Drosophila melanogaster: one gene and its partner. Changing the gene in region 2 together with the main gene of any one other region gives a genetic interaction. Each region holds a gene or a part of one and is shown on either strand. Other genes may lie near its edges. The genes, in order: l(2)gd1 and T48.

What was found.
Region 1: of T48 (region 2) and l(2)gd1, changing one suppresses a phenotype caused by changing the other (phenotypic suppression), as found in Drosophila melanogaster (one study listed by BioGRID).

What each region holds. Positions count from the first base shown.
Region 1 is NT_033779.5:11,103,451-11,115,159, reverse strand, and holds l(2)gd1 (lethal (2) giant discs 1), read right to left. Parts: upstream 8,218-11,709; 5' UTR 8,096-8,217; coding exon 8,039-8,095; intron 7,952-8,038; coding exon 6,353-7,951; intron 6,295-6,352; coding exon 5,863-6,294; intron 5,805-5,862; coding exon 5,653-5,804; intron 5,056-5,652; coding exon 4,911-5,055; intron 4,845-4,910; coding exon 4,725-4,844; 3' UTR 4,319-4,724; downstream 1-4,318. Other genes in the region: Gr32a (gustatory receptor 32a), read right to left, coding at 1-977; Idua (alpha-L-iduronidase), read left to right, coding at 2,211-2,667, 2,729-3,146, 3,225-4,180, 4,239-4,318; Reps (RALBP1 associated Eps domain containing), read left to right, coding at 8,947-9,093, 9,149-9,553, 9,636-9,955, 10,024-10,808, 10,880-11,316. UniProt on the Drosophila melanogaster protein: Phosphatidyl inositol monophosphate binding protein involved in endosomal protein sorting through regulation of the endosomal sorting required for transport (ESCRT) pathway.
Region 2 is NT_033777.3:26,877,693-26,888,122, reverse strand, and holds the start of T48 (transcript 48), read right to left. Parts: upstream 6,390-10,430; 5' UTR 6,060-6,389; intron 4,497-6,059; 5' UTR 4,168-4,496; coding exon 3,900-4,167; intron 1-3,899. Other genes in the region: CG5500 (uncharacterized protein), read right to left, coding at 7,778-8,038, 8,287-8,529; ro (rough), read left to right, coding at 7,018-7,558, 10,347-10,430.

The DNA of each region.
Region 1 (11,709 bases), on a different chromosome or scaffold from region 2:
GAGTAGCCCAGAAACGAGACCAGAATCAAGTTGCAGCAATCGTTGATGCCCTTGTAGATACGCAGCAGTTTGTTGTGCATGCGGTATATGAATAGCGAGTCTTCCGGGAAATGTTCCATTAGAGCAGGATTGACATTGGGATTGACGTCACCACGCTGCCGCCTCGCTCGTGCTCCACCTTCTTTGCGCCTATGCTGCTGCCCATAGGTGTAACCATTTAGCAGCTGGTTGATGAAATGAAACCGGATGTACACAATCCTGAGCAAAGCCGATGCGAATACTATATATGTGGCGGTCAGACCGTTCTGGATGCCATAGAAGGCCAATAGTATATAGGAGGTGGGTGTGATCTCGCCTTGCACGGCATATATTTTGAGCACGATTATATAAGCCTGGCAAGCGGTGATTCCTACTAAAAACTTTACCAAGAACCCAAAATTTTGGCTCAAATTGGCACCAAACTGGCGACGCACTTCCTCGTCGAGTTGAAGGATTTCATTCATTATCCGCAACATGCTCGTGGTATTGTGGGCACAAACGAAAACCGTAAGGGTATAGGTTAGGATGCAGAGCAGCAGCTCGATCCACTGGTTCACATTGTCCGTCTCGCGGTAGGAGAAAAATAATTGCGCCGATATCGGTGTAAATAAGCTGTAGACATTGAAGATGGTCAGGGCGTGGACCACGCCTCTTACGAAGAACGAGTAGAACTCATTCGTTTTGGTCGGAGGACCCACCTCATAGTCGGAGACCTGTTCGTATATTGGCATCAAGCCACTGGCCTTGAGCACGGACAAAATGGTGCGAATGTCCTCGAAAACGGGATGATCATGGTTCCTCGCTGGCATAGGTGGTGCATCCCTACTGAAGGCATCGCGGTTCAAGACGGGTGGCCGGTACGGCGAGATTCTTCGCGGATACGGATGTGATCGCGTTTTCTGCGTGGGCATTTCAATTACCCAAGTGTTCGGGGACATGGCCAACGTGGCACTGACAGGACGAAAGGATTGCACTAACTGGATTGAACAGCGTTCATTTAAGTGGGTTCTGAGCTATCTGATTTTGTCGTGGGCCCACTTGGGCCCGAGACTTTGCCATTAGAGTAATTGCTTGGCATTGTGAATTATTGAATATTGCCAATGGAGAGGAAATCAATTATTCCATGGATGAATTTTGATGAATTTATAGAAAGAGTTATTTATTTTCTTAATATTTACAATTCATAAGTATTTATATTGCTTAATAGTTTTATTTCACATAATGCAAAAGATTCTAGGAAATGTCTGCTCAATTCCTATTCATTTTCGTTGCGGCGACATTGGGGTTTTTCCATATAAGGATTCCCCTAAGTCCTGCGTTAATCCCCGCAAAACAAATCCCATAAATATAAAATTGAATGGCGAACCAATTGGAGGACCAGTTCACCCTCCAATGTAACATGTAACATGAGCGTGTTATGGGTGTATTATCACTGGGATGCGTGAAATGTTATCTTTGTCACACCTTTTCCGCTTTTCCGCCCCCATAGCACCCACACAAGGACAAACTCCATTTCGCACACACACATCCACGTATTTTTCCACCCCCAATGAGGGATTGCAATTCAATGCGGCTCGTGCTGTTGCTTTTCTTTTTTGTGTCATTCCCAGCTTTACTTCCTTTACCTTTTGGGGAGAGAGACTCGTGACGAGAGAGTGCTAAACGGGCACGCTGTTGCTTTCGGCACACGCCTCACTGTGGGTCGAGGAAGGAAATCGTTCGCAGGAAGCTTAGGAGACAGACTTGACACGAATTCTTCAGTCAAAAATGATTTTTTTAATGGTATAATGATATACTGGCTATAAGCTTTACTGTCATAAAGTTTAGTTAGTTGTCAGCTTAAATCAGTGTATTTTAAAATAATTTTAACATGTTTTATTAGTTAAACTATTAAAGGTTTTAATGGATAATTGGAAACATTTTCATTTCATCTCTTGGGTTAAGCATGACTTTGTGTTCCAACTGAACCCACTGTGACGCACTGCCTGTGACGTCACGGACACGGCTTTAGCTTTTGGTTTAGCTCACTCCGACAGATACAGACACACCGAGAGATAGGAGGGAAGGTGAGAGAGCCACTCTTATCAGCAGCGGCATCGACAAATCGAAGACAAAACAAAACCCGTCATTAATCCCGCAGAGAAAGTCGAGCGAATCGCTCATCGCACGGAATGCTGTCGCTACTCCTGGTTCTGACGACGCTTGCCAGGATCCACGCCCACTACACGAGCGGAGATGTGGTCTATCACACAATGCCGCACTTTTGGACGGGCGTGGGCTTCTGTCCCGCCGGACGCATTGATCACGAGGGGATTAGCGCCGCCCTGGGCGATCCAGCCCTTCGACTTAATCTTCGCCTGATTGCAGCATTGCCCGTGGGCGCGGTGACCCACATTCGCATCCACTGGCTGCTGGAGCTGATACAATTCTGGCAGTACGACCCCAGCGGAATACCGATTTATGATTTTTCCAAGTTCGATGACTTCATTGATTTCCTACACGAGGAACTGCGCTTGTCCCCCGTTCTGGAGTGGATGGGCAATCTGGGTGGGGTTTTTTCGGAAAACCCCATGCAGCAATCCTTCTACTGGGAGCACTTGGTTAAGACCACGATTAACCACCAGATAGGTAAGCATGGCCTACGCACTCTCTTCAAATGCGTACCTACAGATTCCTGTCTGTTCATCAGCACGACACGGTTCCTCCAGATTGGTCAACTGGCGCTATGAGACATGGAATGAACCGGACCTTCGTGGGTATAACAAGCAAAACTTTACGGCACACACCTTTCTGGATTACGTTCAAGCTGTGCGGCGGGGTTTGAGTAAAGCTGGAAACCTGGACAACCAGGACGGAAAGGTTCCACTGCCCATGTATCGCTCCCTGCGCGGCCCTGCAGGACTCTTTAAGGACTCGAATCATCCGCTCTGCTGGAATCTATTGGAGCTATGCAGTCAAAGAGTGGTTTACTGTCCCATCGACATACTGACTTTCCACCGAAAGGGAATCGAAGGCACTGCCACGGAAATCGTAAATGGTTCGCTTTCCTTGATGGCCAAAATCTATGAGGAGTATCCCAATCTCAAGCAGCTGCCGGTGGCCAATGAGTAAGAACTAAATTATCAAAAAATATGCTAGAAATACATGGTAGTCCTTATTGAAATCCTTACTTTTCAATCTCTCAGTGAAGCCGATCCTGTGGCCGGTTGGAGCACCTCCCGGGATTTTCAGGCGGATGTGCGGTATGGAATCACACTGATATCTACGGTAATGCAGTTCTGGCATGCCAAGCTGGCCGGTGGTCCACTGAGTCGCTTGGAGTCGATTAGTCATGACAACGCCTTCCTGAGCTACCATCCCCACGAGTTCACACAGCGCACCCTTCTAGCCCACTTCAGGATGAACGAAACCAAACCACCGCACTCGCAGCTCGTTCAGAAACCCGTATACGCTGCTCTGGGAATGCTGGCGAAGCTGGGCACCCGGGCTGCGGACGTGGAAATGGTTAATATGGATACTAAACATAGCGTCCAGGTCCTGCGTACAGTATCCGGTGGATTAGGCGGTCCTGGTCAGTATATGGCCACAATATTTCTGAGTCCCGAGGAGGCGGGTCCAAAGATGACAGCCTTTCATCACAAGTACACGCTAAACATGTCGATAGCGAATGAGTCGGCCTTCGTCACCGAGCTCCTGGTGCCAAAGGAAACGGATCCGTACTACATATGGCAGCAAGCTGGAAGTCCGGCTTATCCCAACGCCACTCTAAGGGAAGCGATGCGAAGAGCCCAAGCACCTAGACTCTACAAGACGGGACCCATCTGGCAGTACAACAGCGAGCTAGTTATCAACTCCGCCAGCATCCCACTGCCCTGGGCGATGCTGCTCCGGGTGTGTTCCGCATCTTGGCCCAAACTGCGACGACCGCAGCAACTTTCCATCGCAGAGGTGACTCAGCGTGAGGTGTTCATTAGCTGGATGGAACACCCCAAATCCACGCAGTGCCTTCTCAGCTACGAGGTGTGGTTTAAGGAACGCGATAATCTGGGTCGCTCCGCCGACTGGATGCTCATCTCACAGGGCTGGCATCTGCCATATCCGTCGTTTCAGTATGCGCCCGGCGATAAGGGATCCGTCAATGGTGAGCATAACCTGCAAAATTTCCATCTTTCATAACCGAAATCTTTTTTTGTCGGCAGGTTTCTATAAAGTTCGCGGTGTGGATGTGTTTAATGAAACCAGTCCCTACTCACAAATAGTCGAATATCTGGAGTTGTAGTTCAACAAACAGTTTATAAATCAAAAGAAAATATTTATGCAATGTGAAAGCTAACATAATCAGGTTTCGGCTAGGCGCTAGTGGACCGATCCTACTCTCAATCTGTCTCTCTTGGAATGGACTGACTTCACCGGCACAATCTTCTGGACTTGCGCCTTCGCCTTAACGCCGGCAATATCATATATACATATATTATTTATATATAAAGATATTTATAGTACATTATATGTGTTGTGTTCGTAATATATAAATGCCTTCTTCCTGCGAAGGAATCGGCAAAAGCGTACATACTTAGATAAATTGAATTTTCTGTGAGGGATATTTACAAACAAATAACTTAGTGACTTAATCGAGAACAATCGCAAGGGGACGCGTTCCTATTTTATTTAAATTTTCTTGTTTAGCCCTAGGCATCCAAGACCAACCACTTTTCGGTGATGTGCTCCATTTGCTTGGTGAGAATAGGATTGCGAACGCGTATCTTGACTTCCAATTTTCCACCTACTTGCTTGCGACCATCCATTAGCTGTTTTAAGGAATACATAGGTTAAATTTAAGTTTATATTATTTTATTATAGTAGTTATCACTTACATCATATGTGTCGTGTATCTCGCACTTGGTCTCCAATGGCTGCAGCTTGACATTTACGGTTCCGATCAACGTATCCGATCGCAGAAAACCTCTGAAACAACACAGGGGCAGTTTACGACTTAGTCCACAACAATCTATACTGCAGCTATTTATATTAAATGCGTAGCATTGGATGACATTTATTTTTTGTTTGAATTGTTGGGAATTGAGGCGTAAAAATTTGTAAAAATATTTCATTAAAATGTTCCTTGTGAGAATCAATCAAGAAGATCAATGGGTAGACACATACGGTGAAATATATGTGTGCTTGAAGCCGTGACTCGTACGATACTGTTTTACGGGACCAAAGGAACATGCTTACTACGGGAAAAATTTAATAATTCAAATTAAGAGCTGAAACTTAATATTAAGAGCAAATTAATACCCAAGCGAAACCTACAAATTGGATAAAAATATTTAGTAGGTATGCAGCTCAATCAACAGCTTTTTAAATTTTCGCAAAATGATCTATGCCAAATATTTTTTAAAATTATATATATATTTTTATTTAAGTCTTTAAGGCTATTTCAAAATGTAGAAGATTACTACTCATCGGATATTACTAAGTATTCCTTGGAAAATTAATACGCGTAAATAAGATCATATACCGCCTCCGTTAGTTGAGATTAATATGCATGGAAAGCTTCTTAGTACGGATTAAATAATTGTTCTAGCTCAGTTCTTTTATGTACGGGCAACTTACCCTCTAGAGTATATTTCAAACTTGACGCCATGCCGCTTAAAGATTCTCTGGAACTGACGATTGGTCCGCTGGATGTCAACCTTGAAGCGTTCATCGTAGTCAGGACTGCTGGTGTCTCTGATAACATTGGTTTTAGTCTTGAAAGATTCATCCTTAAAACGAAAACATATAAATAATTGGTGAAACTTTAAATGTTGGTAATTAGCTTACATTGAGCAGGGGAAACTCTACGCGCACATAAGTATCCACGTCCTTGGGATTGGCCACATTGTAGCTGATTCCCCGGACCACAACAATTTCAAGCTCACTGTCTGTGAGATCTGTGTTGCAATGCACAATGTTGAAGCTACGCTTTTCATAGTGAAACTTTGGCAGTGGTTCATTCTTTCGTTTCGAGTATCGCACCAAATCCAAATCCTTTTGCACAGTTAAGGCTAAATTTTCAAACCGATTCATGCCTGCTACATCTCCCATAGCTTTGTGATGATCTCGCGTATTTTTGCACATCATCAGTTGTTTTGCCAGCTGCTCCTCCATGCGAACACCAATTTCACAGATATCATCTGTCGGATCGCATTCCTCAGCAGATACAATGGCAAAGGAGGCTTCTAGATTATCCCTTTGTGAAGGCGGGACGGGAAGCTGAAAAAAAAAAATATATAGTTAGCCATACAAGAAGAAGATGTAATGCAAAACTTACAGTGCTGAGGTCCACTGGCAATCCACTACTCGCTGCATTAAGAAGGGAATCGAATCCCTTGAAGATCTTGAGGTACTCCTTCGCCTGATCTATTTCTCCCGCTTTTTTGGCCTCTATAGCAGCTAGCTTAAACTCCTTTTGGCGCTCGAGGAGCAGTTTCATTTGTTGCTCGGCAATATTATTCTTCTGCTGATTGCCAGACGTGCGTGTTGTTAACTCTTTGGGCTTAGGAGGTGAAGGTGCTTTTCGAGGAGCTGTAGGTGTCGTCGCACTGGAACTGGAGGGTGTTCCTCCTGCGGAAGTACTTGCTGTTGGCGGTGGAGATGTAGGCGAAGTGGGCAGCGACGGTGTCGGCGCGACAGGAGCAGCATCAGCCGTAGGCAGCGGTCCAAAACCTGGTGGCACAGGCAGCTCATCGTAAGGCACTGGTTTGCCTGCCTTGTACAACTTTATGGCATCTTCGTATTGCTTCACAATCCTTCCAAAGCGTCTTGCTTTTCCGCTATTGTTTTCTGCCTTGGCTGCCGCTTCTACAGATTGATATTTCTCTAAACGTTGCTGCAGAGCCTCCAACATATTTGTTGCAGCTGCTAGAACAGGAGCAGGAGCAACAGGTGTGGGTTCTGGGGCAGCAGTAGGTTCTGCGACAGCTTCTGCGGCTGCTTCTTCTTGCATTTTTTTAAGGAATTCAAGAAACTCAGCTGGTGGAGGGGGCATGTCACTCAAATCAACTTCCTGTCCGTCTTCACACATTTTTATAACTACGTCAAATTGCTTGACCACTTTGAGAAACTGAAGGGCAGTAGATATGTCACCACTGCGCTTAGATTGCAGTGCAGCAGCTTTGTAGTCCGTCTGGCGGCTGCGCATTTGCGTCACAAGAGGATTAGGGGGAGATGTGGGAGCCACAGATGTAGTGGGCTCCACGGGGGTGCCGGGGGTTGGTGGATCTGGAGCTGCACGACTAGGCACAGGCGGAGGGGAAGCAGGTGTGGAAGGAGCTGGTGACTCCTCTGCAGGCACTGGAGGAGCCTGCCCGCCAATTGGCTTTACACTGACTTCAGGTGGAATGTCATCCACGTTAATGGACTTGCCAGCCGCTGCCTGCCTGTGCAGATCTTTCAGAGTCTTAAGGCCTCTTCCAAATCGCCTTGCTTTGCCAGAATCGCCGGCAGTCTTGGCATTGGCCTCGGCCTGCTTGTACATTTCCAGGCGCTGTTTGATAATGCTTAATGTGTCCACAGTCGTCGTGGGCAGAAAGGTCTGGACGGGTTCCTCAGAGGCAGCTGGCGGTTGTGCGACAGGCTCCTCTTCCTCTGCCTCCTCTAGACCACCGATTCCGCTCAGCTCGCCAAGAAGATCCGGATCGCTTTCCAAATTGTCATCATCATCATCGTCGCTGACATCACGCAAGCTGTCGGCTATCATTTTGTCCAAATCACTGGCGGGTAACAGCTTTGCTTTGGGCTTGGGCTTTGGCTTGGCTCCTTCTCCGCCGGTTATGGCCGCAAGCTCTGCCTCCAAATCACTGTCACCCCCATCGTCCTCACCATATCCAGCGCTGGGATCAAAATCATCTGGGATTTCCGTAAGACCGAACTAAACACAAAAAACAAAAAAGACAGTCCAAACGATGAGTCATAATTAATAAATAGACGGATCTAGACTGTTTGTTTTTCCTCTCACCTGCGATAAATCGTGTTGCCTTCTTTTCGCTGGCTCTGGCTTCTTTCTGGAGAACATCCTTGATTGCACAGAGGCTGTTTATTAACTAAAATAAGTCTATAAAGACTTTCAAATCCTTTAAATTTTTGCGTCGCAACAGTTCAGCCGCAGACAACAATAACAGAGTGGGGATCACTGTGGTGCAACGAAAGGTGACGCAGGAAAGTCTTTGCGAATTGGTGACGTCAGTGGCACAGGGCTACAGGAAATTTGTTGACGGTTAAAAAAATATCGTTAAAAATAATGAAGAAATGATTTTTTCTTCATTCAGCAACATTAAATTTTATTATAGTTTAATCCATAATGAAATATAAATGAACATGGTAAGCCACCTTACAAAACATCAATCCTGCGGAACTAAACTTTTGCCGGTAACTAGGGCTGCGAAACGCTAACAGGTACAGGGCTGCCGCGCCAGCTGTCTAATCGAATCGATACCGCAACCTATCGATATCGAGAGCCAGCGCACACACAGTGCAAAAGAGTTTGCGAAAAAAAACCTGGACAAAAAGCCAAATTGATTGTGCGCCGAGCAGCTTGAGGCACTAGGTGTACCCTCGTCGACCAGTGCCGTGAATCCTCTAACCATCGTGGTTGTGGTGGCACCAAGAAGTTAGCGAAACCATCGTCCCCGCAGTTCTCCCAGCTTCCACCTCCTCCAACTCCGTCTTGGGGGCCAAAGGCAGAAAATCATCAGACTTCTGGTTGTGAGCAGCGCGGGGCAGCGGGGTCGGCACTGGCCTGCTGGGTTAAACGTGGAAGTAAACAAACGAATTGGATTCCGGGTCCAGGACGGACGAACGGGGCGTGGCTCGTTAACCAGCGGCTTGGTAAACGAAACCAGAGACGGCAACAAGTAGGCGACAGGCATGGACGTGTCCCTCACTGAGCCGGAGACGCGCTTCTACAGTGAGTTGTTCCAATGCTGCGACGTGGAGAAGACAGGCAAGGTGCCCATGCTTAAGGCCACCGAGCTCTTTCGCTCGGCGGACATCGCCAATGAGACCGTGATTGAGGTAGGTCCAATTTGTGTGATCGTGAGTGATTAATTATCTGGGTCTGGGCTTATAGATCACCGGTCTGGCGGGGATACCCTCCACGGCGCTACACATCTCGCGGACACAGTTCTACTCATGCCTGAAGCTAATCGCTGCTCATCAGGCGGCCATGCCCCTGCGCCAGGAGCTGATCTTGGCCACGTTTCCGCTTCCATTACCGCACTTTAGCTGGAAGGAGGCGGTTACAGCTCCGGTGGCTGTCGAAAATGGATTGACTGCCTTGCCACCGCCACCACCCACAGATCGCAGAAATTCACTGCGTCGTAACTCGCAGCAAGAGCAGCTGCAAGACACCTCTGATGTGCCCAGCACCGACTCCGAGGTTGAGCAAAACGAATCAGTGGACGATGCGACAGGCCATGGACGAGGTACGGATGGCTGTGGGGTCGTCAGCAGCAGCAGCCGCGAAAATGTCGGGGTTTGTACTTCTATCTTATCTTGTGACATTTGTAAATAAGCTTACCATTGACCGATCCCCGTCCATGCCTTATCTCTTTTAGCGACGACGAGGAGGCGGTACTGGTGGTGGATCGCCAGAAGCCTGGAGCACTAACAGTGACAGCCCCACGCCCACCAACAGCGTGGCTGAGCGGCCTTGGGCGCAGGACACCCTCTGGCAGGGTTTGCTGGGCGACGAGCATCGCCAGCTGCTAGGCACGGAGGAAGAGTCTTCCGATCGCCACAGCAGCGACGACGATGACAACGAGAGCGAATTGGTGACCATTTACCAGATAACCCCGGAACAGCGCGAGTACTATAATAAGCAGTTCAGGACGGTGCAAAGGGATCCGCATGGTCTGCTTTCGGGCCAAGCAGCAAGGTAAGTTGGCTTTAGGAACGTTTATAACTTTATTCTTCTTATTATTTTCTTATTCCTTTTTTTATTAGAAACTTTTTTGAAAAGAGCCGCATTCCTGTGGAGGAGCTACGTCACATTTGGCAGTTGTGTGACGTTACCCGCGATGGAGCGCTAAGTCTGTCTGAGTTTACGGCCGCCATGCATTTGGTGGTTCTACGGCGCAACAACATTCCCTTGCCCACAAGTCTGCCCCACTGTTTGCATCCCAACGTGCTACAAGCAGCTGCGTCCGGCAGTGGACAGGGGGTGACATCCTCGTCATCGGCGGCGCTGCCTCAGGAGCCACCTGAGGCTGATCTCCTGCACCTAAATGATGACGATGAGGACGACCATACGGATAATACAATCATAGCAGGCAATCTCAGCGGCAGCAGTACGACCAGCAAACCGCGTCCCAATGTGCCCAGCGACAAGAACATCATGAATCTGAGCAGCATATCCACGTCCTCGCAGGCTAGCAACAGTTCCAAACGTGAGGCAACACCACAGAATTCTTTGGGCAAGAACCGAAGCATCTCAAACTCGCCGAATGTGGAAAAACCTGTGTCGGGAACTGTTTCCTCTACGGCAAGCGCTGTAGACTCGACCAACGTCTCCAGTCAGTGGACAAAGTTTAGCGAATCTCCAACAACAAGTGCGGTTTCGGTACAGTCAACCACTGGGGCAGCACCTGTTGTAGCAGCCGGAGCAGCCGCTTCTGGCGCATCTAGTCCCGGGCTCAAGCCAGTCCTGTTTGATATGAAGCGCTCGGCCCAAGACGTGGTATCCAATCCGCAGATTCTGCACCCAGTGCCGCTAAGAGTGACGCCCATTGGTGAGTAGAAGAACTAAAATAGTATTCTATAAATTGAATATAAATATAATTATTCCTTATCTCATCTGTAGGCACCGCCATCGCTTCCTCAGCTGAGTCATCTAACGAAAACGAGAGCGCGGTGGCTCAGCGCGAGGATAGTCCCAAGGCCATCTCTTCGACTACTGTCAATAATCAGTCATCTGCTGTTGTACCCGGAATATCGGGAGTCGCTGGCTCCTCCCACCGCGATAGCAGCGATCTGCGTGCCATCCAACGGCCTCAAGCCAAAAAGCTGCCGGCCAAGAACAGTGCATTGCCACCGCCACCGCAACGCGAGCCCAGTATCGGATCCACTGGGCCAAGTGAGTCGCAGGAACCGCAGGCTGCCTACGTGGCATCGTCTTTGGCGTCGAAGAAGGAGCCACCGCCTCTGCCACCGCCAAGGCCACATCGTCATGCACGGAGCAGCAGTCTGGACTTAAACAAGTTTAAAATAGGCGCAACGGGCGGTGCCCAACAGGCGGAGGTATGTTATGTCCTATGGACCAACAATTTCCAATTTTATCTGAGAATTTCAATCTGTGTCGTTTTATATGCCTTGGTCATTAAATAAAGCCTTGTAGGGGATAGTATTTCGTAGATCCGCACTTATCCCCTGCAATGCTATAACAAACTAAGGAACTTCCAAAACATTCCGTGTGTTCCGTCTCTGTTTTCAATATTTGTGGTGTACTGTGCAAATGAAGGCGAATACAGTTTTGCTACAGATTCAATTTATTGAAATGAAAATACAGTGTCTTTTAAGAGTCCACAATTGTTAAGCATTTGCAAAGGAAACCGTAAACTTCGGGAAACCGAATTTGCTTATATTGTTTTTGTGTTTTTTGTTTGCTTGATTTTGCCTAACTACCTACCTATA
Region 2 (10,430 bases):
ACATTCACTTTTTGTTTGGCACTTTCTTTCTAATCGAAAGTTGCTGCTTAGCTGCGTGAATGTGTGGGAGGAGATTTTTGTTTTTTTTTTTCCCCATTTTAATGGGAGGGAAATGCGTTGGTCGCTGCCAAAACCAAAAACAAAAAAAAGTTTTGGTTACTCTTCAAATTAAAAACAAAAGGGGAGAGAGAGAAAAGCGCAGAAAGGAAAACATTTCGAGACACCTGTTTACGTAGTGCTGTCTTTTGTTAGCCAATGCAATTTCAGTGGGGGGGAGGGGTATGTTGGTTGCTAGCTGGGTTAAATTCAACGTAGGTGGCTGGTTTATGGCCGCAAATTGTTGCACTTTGCTTCGGTTGTGTTGTTAGTTGGGTTGTCCGCTTGTCCCGTGGCCAAAACAGCAAACAATGCTGTCTGTAGATAAAAATCTACCAAATTTGCCTATATAGAAAGTCCGTGTCTGCACTGCACCGAAAAGTTTTCCCCCCTTTTGGATAAACAAATCGAATAGAATATACTCGTATATATGTATATACTCCTCAAGCGCCTTGCACAATTTATCCATTAACCGTATGCGCGTTTGTTCTCTTTTTGAATGTAAAATTAAAAACAAATAAATAGCAACAACAAACGACTGGTAAAACAAACAATGGGATAATCAAAAAAAAAAAAAAAAACCAATGAAAAATCACAGAGGGAGGGAGGGTGCAACACAACAGGTTCGGGCCATAAAATGCGAAGAAACCGTTTCATTTTCCCTGACTTTTCGCAAAAGGTGTAAACACGAGGCCCCTGAGGTGGGTGGGTAGACCATGTGGAAGTGGACGTGAACGTGGCCGAGGACGTGGACGTGGACGTGTATGTGGACGTGGATGGAGGCTAGACACTTGCGCACACTAAACGATTCGGTTTTCAGGTGTTAAAAACTACCTGTACGATGCGGAGAGTCCGATTTCGGAGCATGAAATCGCTGGCCGTGCTGGAAAAATGCCATGAAATGGGCTTTCGTCAAATTAGCGTGGCAGCGTTAACCGATGGAGGGATGTGTGATTCAGAATGAGCCTAGAGGGAACGATGCTCGGGATGCTGAGCGCAAAATGCATCTAACAGATGCACCTTCTCTGTGGGATATTTCGCACTTTGCGCCTCACATTCTTCTTTCTTTTTTTTTTTTTGTTTTGTTCAGCTAGAGTCGTTTGGGTCGTTTGCCCTGTCTGTGCTACCTGCTGCCTTGATTTATATATATATATATGCTTACTGCAAAACTGCATTCGGTTTTTATCTGTATCTGCATTTGCATGACACACAACCTGGCCGGTGCACTGTTATCTAACTCGAGGAGGAATGCCCGTTCCCTCTGACTTTGGCACTTGATCTACCATATATACCGCTCAAGATGAAGCCGAATGCTGAATGCAGAATACTGAATACTGTAGAGACTCCACTACGGCTGAGGCCTCATAAATTCTCTCGTCGTTTAGTTTTTACGATTGTCGGCTGGCTTTGTTTGGCCGAGGCACACACAACTGGGGGCAAGATAATAGCACTCGGAAGGCCTTGGCAAATGTATCTATCTCACTACGGTTTCTTATCTGTTAAGCCACAGAAGACAATCAGTTTACTATTTCAATAAACTATGTATAAATAAAGTGACGCAAAAGTCATCTTAAATATTATTATTATATTAATAGTATAGAATTCTGTTGGATTCTTTAGATTACCAGTTGATCTTGAGAACTTCTAATTGTGCTATAATTCTGACCCCGGCTGTAAGCACTAGCACACACAGCGCAACACGAACTCACAGATACACGCCGCTTGTATCTTTCGACGTTGGTCTATCTAAATACATGCTGAAGAGTTGAAGTGCCAGGGACCCCAAGCCAAAGAAACGGCAGCGACAACAGCCTCCTGCCAAGATCTCTGCGCCTGCGTACTGTACTCGGAAACTGGGGAACTTGGGAACTCAGCACTCGGAGCAAGACCAAAACCAAAACCAAAACCAAGACCAAGACACCAAAGCCAAAGCCAAGACCAAGAAAAGACCCAGTCTACCAAAAACTGGTCCCTGGGCCAAAGTTTGCGTGCTTTGCTGAAATTTTTACGCTGGTTCCCGGCACCCGAAAACGAAAAACTCTCTTTCAGCTCACAGAACATTCAGGTAGTCCGCCTTGGGCATTCCATATTTTTGGCCAATGTCCAGGAATTGCGATGAATGGAGTGGTCGAGGGAAATAAGAACACGGCATTAATGATGCATTAAAATGTATTCACAAAGGCGTGCAACTATTTTAACGGTCTTTAGGCTCCCATTCAGTTCTCGAGGAATTCAGGAAATGCCTGAAAATAGCGTATTATAAGGGAAATGGACTGTGAAGATTTAATGGGTTTTCAGCTAGGGAAATTCGATATTACTCCGGGCATTGTGGCCACCCACAGATCTCGACCATATCCAAATCTGATCTAAATCTGGCCAAGGGTTATGGAAAATCCCAACCAGCATATCGGCCCACGAAAAAGTGGTGCCTTTAATTATGACACATTTAAGAAAGCCACAAATATACTACGGCCTTAAGTTCACCCAAGCACCTAAATTGCTGTCGAGTCATAAGTCGAGTCGAGGGCCACAAAACTCCAAAAGAAAAGGCCGACGCAGGGAGATAGGGTTTGGAGAAAGGAGACGGAGACGGAGACAGTGAGTGTAACTTGACGAAAGTACTTTCATTTTCACGCTCATAAAATGGGACTACCATTAAACTTAAAAATGCCGTCGTAAAAACTTAAAAATCAGAAACGTAGCAGCTAACAGCGGGCCAAGTTAAGCGGCTTAAATGACATTTAAATCAGTCGAAATACCGAACGCGGAAAAGGGGAGTGAAGAAACAGAATTCGGTTGGCCAAAAAGACAGGCGACACAGTATGGAAAGGTAAACACTCGAGACCGAAGATCCCTTTCACTGGACAGGGACAGGAAGTTCGCACTTTGGCAAAGATCGAAGAACCCAAAAATGAGCAATGGAAATTAAAACTATAAAGAAACCCCAACTGGGTCTCTACCAGTCCAGCACACGTCTTCTTCAGTTTCTCCCCGTGATTACGCTTTAATCTCGTTATAATGAGGCAGGAAAATTGCTTGGCGGATGTGCCGAGCGTGCCCGAAACGGGAACGGGAATGGGAACGGGAATGGGAATGGGATTGGATTGGGATTGCAATTGGTATGGGTACATGGATGGGTATATGGAACCTGGAGCTGTGGTTGACATCCTGGTTGCCAGCTGGGCAGCACTCATCTAGCTCTCTTTCTCTCTCGAGTGCAGCTGAGATTGAATTACCAGGGAAAAAAACCTGGGGAGGACCATCTCAAACCGGGACAGACACAATGCAAAAGGCAGAGACAAGCGGCAGACAGCAGATACACTTGTTCGAGTAATCTGTTCCCCACTCTTGTGTGCCCTCCTCCCCATTTCGGAAATATGATGCCGCCAAGGCGCAGGTCGCAAACAAACCGAAGACACGATCGGTGGACACAAAAGGGTCCCAGGAAGAGTTGTGCGATAAGGTTAGATAAGCGCCGGCACATATGTATATGAATGCTTGTATACCTGAAGCGGCGGCCAAGTGAACACTTCCTTCTTTCCGCGTTGGAGCACACACGCTTTATTTGGGGCTCTTTTTGGGTCTGATAAGGCAAGCATGAATGAGTTTGTGTTCGTATAATTCTGGGAAGAACTGAGATGATGACTACACTTAGTCCATTAGCAGGGCAGATGGAAACAGAGAAACTAAGTAGAAAGCACCCATGAAATCAAATGCTATGCAACTAAAATAACTAAATAATGAACAAAATCTTAATATATTTGAAATATAAATATATATCTTAAGTATAATTTAAAACCCACCTGAATTTTGCAGCATGCCGGGCAGCACCACCGACGACTCCGACTTGAAGCCTCCACTGAGACCGCTGCTGCTGCTGGTGGGCTTCTCCTGGCCCATGTCCAGGGTGGTGGAACCGTCCAGATCGACGAGTGTGTTGCCATTGTAGAGTCCCGCGTTGCGGTACTCTTTCGCGAAGGGCGTGGCAGCCTGTGCCGCCCCCACGATTAGCACTTGGACGAGCCAGAAGATGGCAGATGGGCCGCTTTGGGCCACTTCCACCGACCGCATTTCACTCGGGCACTCACTTCACATAGACGAAAGCCAGTAGTCGATGGGAATTATATTTATTATTGTGACGAAGCGTGACACTTTCAATTAACACCGCTCAGCGGCTGCCGCCGAATGCGAAAAAAATGTGTTACTTTTGATCATTAAATTAGTTGGAGTCGGCCGACTTGACTTTGATGGGGCACCGTAAATTCAATTTGCGCTCGACGTTTGCTCTCGTCTCGCACTTGTTACTCTTTTCCACCGCCAATTAGGCAAATGATGTGTGTCGGCAATTAGTGAAACGATCGTCCGTCCAAGTCACTAAAGTGTGTCAGACGTTTTTGGCACTGCAAAGATAAGGGAGCATAAACAGTGCGATTAGTACGGTGCGATTCAGAAGTTCGCATATGTGTGCCAATCTTTATCACTTTGGAGTGGCAGTAGGGAAAGGCTATAAAACAGATTTGGAATGGGTTTGCAAGTATTTTTAGCTTTCCCAAGGGAGCAAGCGATTCCGATTTCCAAGCGGGTTTTTTTTTTATCAAGTTCAAGAGAAATGCATATCGGAATATAAGGAATACTACAAGTTTAACATTCTTATCGCAGTAAAATAAAAATAAACACAACATCTTAAGAAATGTAAAGGTATACAAATCGTAGAATGTTTCTAAACACATATAATATATCGATCTTAAACTATTTGGGTTCCAAACATTTCCTGTCTCAAAGCATTCTAATACCCATGTGCATTCGTCACTATTTTGTTTGCTACCACTTGCATTACTATTCTACACTCGAATTTCTAACGGTAACCGGACAACACACATTGCCAACAGCTGTTAGTCGTTGTTGTTGCGCTGTTAATTGGTAAGTACGCGACATTTCTATCAATCAAACATAAAAGTCCGCGTTCATTTCCATAACAATTTTCCCGTAATATGCTGCGCATGCGCAGGATAATGAAAACGAGCCCACGAGAAATCCCGCGGTGGGAATTAGGGAATCAAAAGAAATCCCACAATAAGCCCCTCGCGAATGCCTCCGCCCACGCCTCTGCATGTGCAAGCGGGATGGCCAGAGGCAGGAAGTTCTGCGTGCGAGCGAGAGGCAGCGTGCACCCTTAGCGCCGCTCATAAATGTCAATGGAAATGAAAAGGCTGATGTTATTGTTTTTTTTCGTTTGTTTTTGGATGGAAAACAGAATGAACAACATGTGGGTTTCGCTTTATTAAACATCGCCTGGAGGAGGAAATGCCGAAGAGGCTCTACACACGACAAAAAATATACAAACATTCTAAAGACTCAAAACACTATGCTTAAATATTTGCAAATTTATTTTAAGGTCTTTCAGCACAATGATGTGATGTATTGATGTATAAATTTAAGGTTACTGTTTGTAATTCATTAAATATGATTGTTTTGCAATTGATTCCAATCCAGTTTGATTACTTTTTAAGTCGAGGTTCATGTCTGAATTTCATTTTTCTGTGCAACCAGAAGGTATTTATAAATTGAGCTCAAAAAAATAAAACGCACGAAAAATGTTCAAAAAATTTGCATATGTCAGTGTAACAAAAAACCGAAATTGATGGATGGAAAAAAGTCGGCGACTGAAAAACACACACTCGCGGGCTTAAGCCAAATAAGCTCTAAACGAAACGAAACGAGTTTTAACAAAATATTTTTGCATTGCTCAAACGCAGCTCAGAGCCGTCAGAGAAACAAACACAAATGCACGCCGGGGCCAAATAAAAGCCATTCAATTAATATCCGGACAGAAAACAACAAACAAAAGTCGCTGCAATTTTTCTGGTTTTATTTGTTTTGCACTGCTCCCATTTTGTGGTGTTTGAGGGGATATGGGAATTCGATAAACAAAATCGAAATTGGCCAAAATCGAAGGGATGTACCTTTTTTTTTCTTATTTTCGTCACCACTTGTTGGTCTTTGTTTATTGTTATTATTCTTTATTGGCACTTTCGGTGGCTGCGACAGCTGCGCGAACTAACGGTACGTGCAAATCGGTTGCGCAGCGCAGACGGATTGGCAACATAACCGTAATCGTTTGTTTTTGTTTTCGTTCTTTCGATCACTATCACTTCATCGATACTTCTTTCCCAAAACAGCACACGTTTACGCACCGAAGTTTTGGGAACACATTATCCATGCTGATATAATCCACGAACTCGACTCGACTCGATTCGATTTGATTCGATCCCTCGCGCGCGCTATGTAAAATTACAGATAGTGGCGCGATTCGGTTGCTTATATAGACTTTTTGCCATTTAGACGGACCGTTTATGGTAGTTTGAAAAATGCATGAAATACATTGAAGAAGCAAATGCTGATTGCCCACCTCTAGGGATCTCGCTCTTAAGGTTGTTGTCCTCGCAAAGCACTGGCGAGGTAAGAAACTTGGCTAAACCAGGGACTGTACGCACACACTGCTTGTATGAAGACGTGAGTACTGCTTGCTTAAGAGTGGGCGGAGCTTATTTAGGCACACTGCTTGCCACCCTTAAGTGAAACTTTGGCCGGAAGTAAAATTAGGGGTTAATTGCACGGCACTTCAGCCAATCAAACCGGGTTTCAGGCCACACTTCAGGTGTTTAGTGGGAAGGGGGTCCTTTTTTTTTATTATTATTATTAGTAAGCAGCATTTTAGGCGCCCCCGCTGCTGCTGTTAATTTTCTGATGTGCCGCGTAATTTGCTTTGTTTTTTTTTTTCACCCAGTTCCTCTGCCGACGTCGACGTCAGGATAAGCGTCGCTTGACCAGCGGAAGTAGAATTATTTGTGGCACTTCAGTCGCTCGCCGATTACCCAAGTGATTAGTTTGGACAGCTAACGCGGCACATCCTCAAACGAAATGCAACGTCACAAAGTTGAGATTGGCTCACCCGACGGCTCGCCGGGCATCAAAAGGAGTGACAGCTTAGATCCCATAGCGAACACTACGATTCTATCCGTGCCGCAACGTCCCTCGTCGCCGCGACAGTTTTTCGAACGTCTGTACGGGCATTTGGAAACGCGCTCCTCGGAAAATGGGGAAATCGACGTCGGAACACACGCCCACAAGCCGCCGCCCTGTGACACGCCCTATCACAGCGATGGAGGAAGCGTCTCCTCGCCAGACATTTCCATCAGCGATGAACGCACCTCGCTAGCCGCATATCCCGCCTACGATTTCTATGGTCACGCCAAGGACTATCCGCAGCATCCTAGCCAGCAGCACCAGCAGCATCATCATCATCACCATCATCCGCCGCAGCTGGTGCACCAGAAACTCAGCTACGTGAGCCCGCCGCCAGCAATTGCCGCCGGTGGAGCTGCGAATCCTGTCCTGCCACACGCATTCCCAGCCGGCTTCCCAAGTGACCCGCACTTCAGCGCCGGCTTTTCCGCATTTCGTGAGTACTTACATTTAAAAAAGAATGGTTTCTAACAATGTGTAGAATATTTGCAAAGCTATGCAGAATCTTTAGAACTACGAAAATAACTTCTTCAGAACCTTAACTCTTACATGTTTATTTTGAGGTTTCTTAGTTCTTACACACTAAGTACAAGAGTAAATTTGAGCTACTACGAATTTGGTCCTAACTAGATATTTAGGTGAGCGGGGATTTGTACTACGGCGGGGGCGAGGATTTCTTTGGCTTTCCCTGCTTCGCTGCTTTCTCCGCCGCCGCCTTCTCCTCCCGCTGCTTAGCCATCTGGCGCAGCTCCAGGCTGAGGAACATCTTCAGGTTCGGGTCGGTGATCTTGCTCAGCACAATCTCTCGCGCCTCCTCATCGTTGTCGCCCAGCAGCTTGGCCAGCGTCTGTGCGTAGTCCAGCCAAACGCAGTTGGCGCAGCCCGACATGCAGCAGGTGGTGGGCTCGGGAGGTATCTGCAAACGATTATATAATATGCAATCTCTTGAGCCACTTTCCTCTTAGGATAGAAAGTTATTTCAGTATTGTGATAACAATTGGATCCTTCGATAATACTGCTCAATAGTTTTAGAAGTTCATAGAACTACACTAAGTTTTGTGTTACAATACTAGATCGATGATCCTTTCTTTCTAATGAACTACAATCTTACCAACTGATATTTAACCTATAATAGCAATGATAACAACTAGCTTACAACATTACCTCTATGTTTCTGAGCCGCTTCCTTCCCTTGGTGGTTTTATCTTTGGCTTTGGGAGTGTCAGTGCCCGTCGTTGTGCTATTGGGCGGACAGCCACTTGCTGCCTCCTGGGCGGCCGCATCCTTGCTGCTGGCATCATCCTGGGAGCTGCTGCCCGACAATTGGCGGGCCAGTGAGGCCCAACGCTCGGCGCCACGTCGCAGGAGCAAGCATCGCGGACAGCTGAAGCCCAGGGGAGCCAACATTTCCGCCCGATCCCCGAAAGAGTTCGAAAGTTACGATTGAAAAGGCCCAGAGGAAGTGATGAGCATTTCACACGCCTGCGCAGGTGCAGCCCAGATGAACTTGGTTCCGCAGGAACTGCAAAAAAAAAAAGTCGGATACGCAAAAAAAAACTGATTAATCGTCAGTGCTGCAATATTGAATATCCCCCACATCTTCGCACCGAGTGCGCTGGCCAGGATTATGTAAAATCAGTTGGAAAAAAATAAACGAAACTAAGGTGGGGCAACCAAGCAATGCCACACAATGAGCTGCTGCTGCTGCTGCTGCTGCTGACCCCCAAATGCAAAGAAATTAGCCAAGGAAAAAAAATAACCGAATGCCAAGAAAAAATTAAAACGCATTGAGCCGTGAAAGTTTTCGTTTACTTGCGGCTTTTTCGTTTGCTCCTGATGAGGTGGCCAAGGTGGCCAGGTGCGGAGATGAGGTTGAGGGGATATTGAAACATGGAAATGCGTCGGCTAATGAAAATGATCGCAGGTTAAGGGTGAATGGGTTAGCCATTCGTAAGCAAGAAATCAAAGTTAAAGACACTTTGAAACCTTTTCTACGAGCAGAAACGTATTCTACATATGCAAGCATTTTTTAGATTCAGAACAGTTGATATATTTAATGCTAAACCAGCTTGGTAGTTACTATAAGTACTTGATCTTTAAATTAACTAACTTACAAGCCAAACTTTTGGTCAATCTCAAAAAAATAACAAGTGTCTGAAAAAATTAGCATTGTAATTGAGCTCGGCAGGAAACCTAAAAAAGCAAACACAAACAGCAAGCGAGGAGGGTTAAGCGAGGAAGACTCATTTTTAGCCACAACAAACCGTCCGAAAGGACACTTGGCTATCGAATTACACACGTGATTTAAAAAAAAAAAAAAACCTTCGGCAAGGATCAGGGAAGAGCTTAAGCCCCTCCAGAGCCATCCGGACTAGGGGTAATCAAGCAAAAGCTAGAGATTACAACGCCCACAAAGCAACCCCTTCCCGGGGAAACCCCCCCTCCCCCCCCCCCACCATCCTAACACCACCGAGCAACTTGTCAGCTTCGCCTTGTTACATCAATTAGACTCTAAACCGCAACATTCACCATGGTGTGGGTGTTTGTGGTGGGTGTTCCTGGGTGGCAGGTGCTCGTTGTTGCAGGATGAAGTGGGGCATAATGTGCGCTTGGTTGAGCTTCATCGTCGGCGACACTGCGAATGCAAACAATCAAACGACAGAATGGAAAACTCGAAAGAGCGGATGATGCCGAGAATTTCGACGAGGATGATGATGATGATGATGGCCAGCCAGCTGTTGGCATTGTTATAACTTTCCCGGATCAGCATAGATTGCCGAAATGAAAAGCGTGGTAAAAAAAAAAACATAGAGAACAGAAACTACGTGGTAAATGCACTTTTAATGTGCACCACAAACGCGACCGACGACGAATTCTGGCAGGTGGGCGGGCGGAGAGAGCAAGAGAGGGAGGACGACGGATGGACCACGGATCGGAGTGGTTAATTATTTGTTTAACTGACGCAGCGACACGCAACCACATTCGAAAACGTTTAGTCCCGCTCATAACTTGATGGTTTGTTAATGTAAGATTAATTTCGCTCTAACATCTCCATTGTGTTGGACATAAACGAAAGTGGGTGGGCTGTGAAAAAATGATGCTATCCGACGGATGTCGTTATTGTACACACTGAATGGTGCGGGGTTTACATAACTAATAAGCTGATTCCAACTAGATATTATACACGTATTAATTGTAAGGATATCAATGTATTTGACTTTCAGTGGCTCGCAGGCGACGCAAGGAGGGAAGACAACGCCGCCAGAGGACCACTTTCAGCACAGAGCAGACGCTTCGCCTGGAGGTGG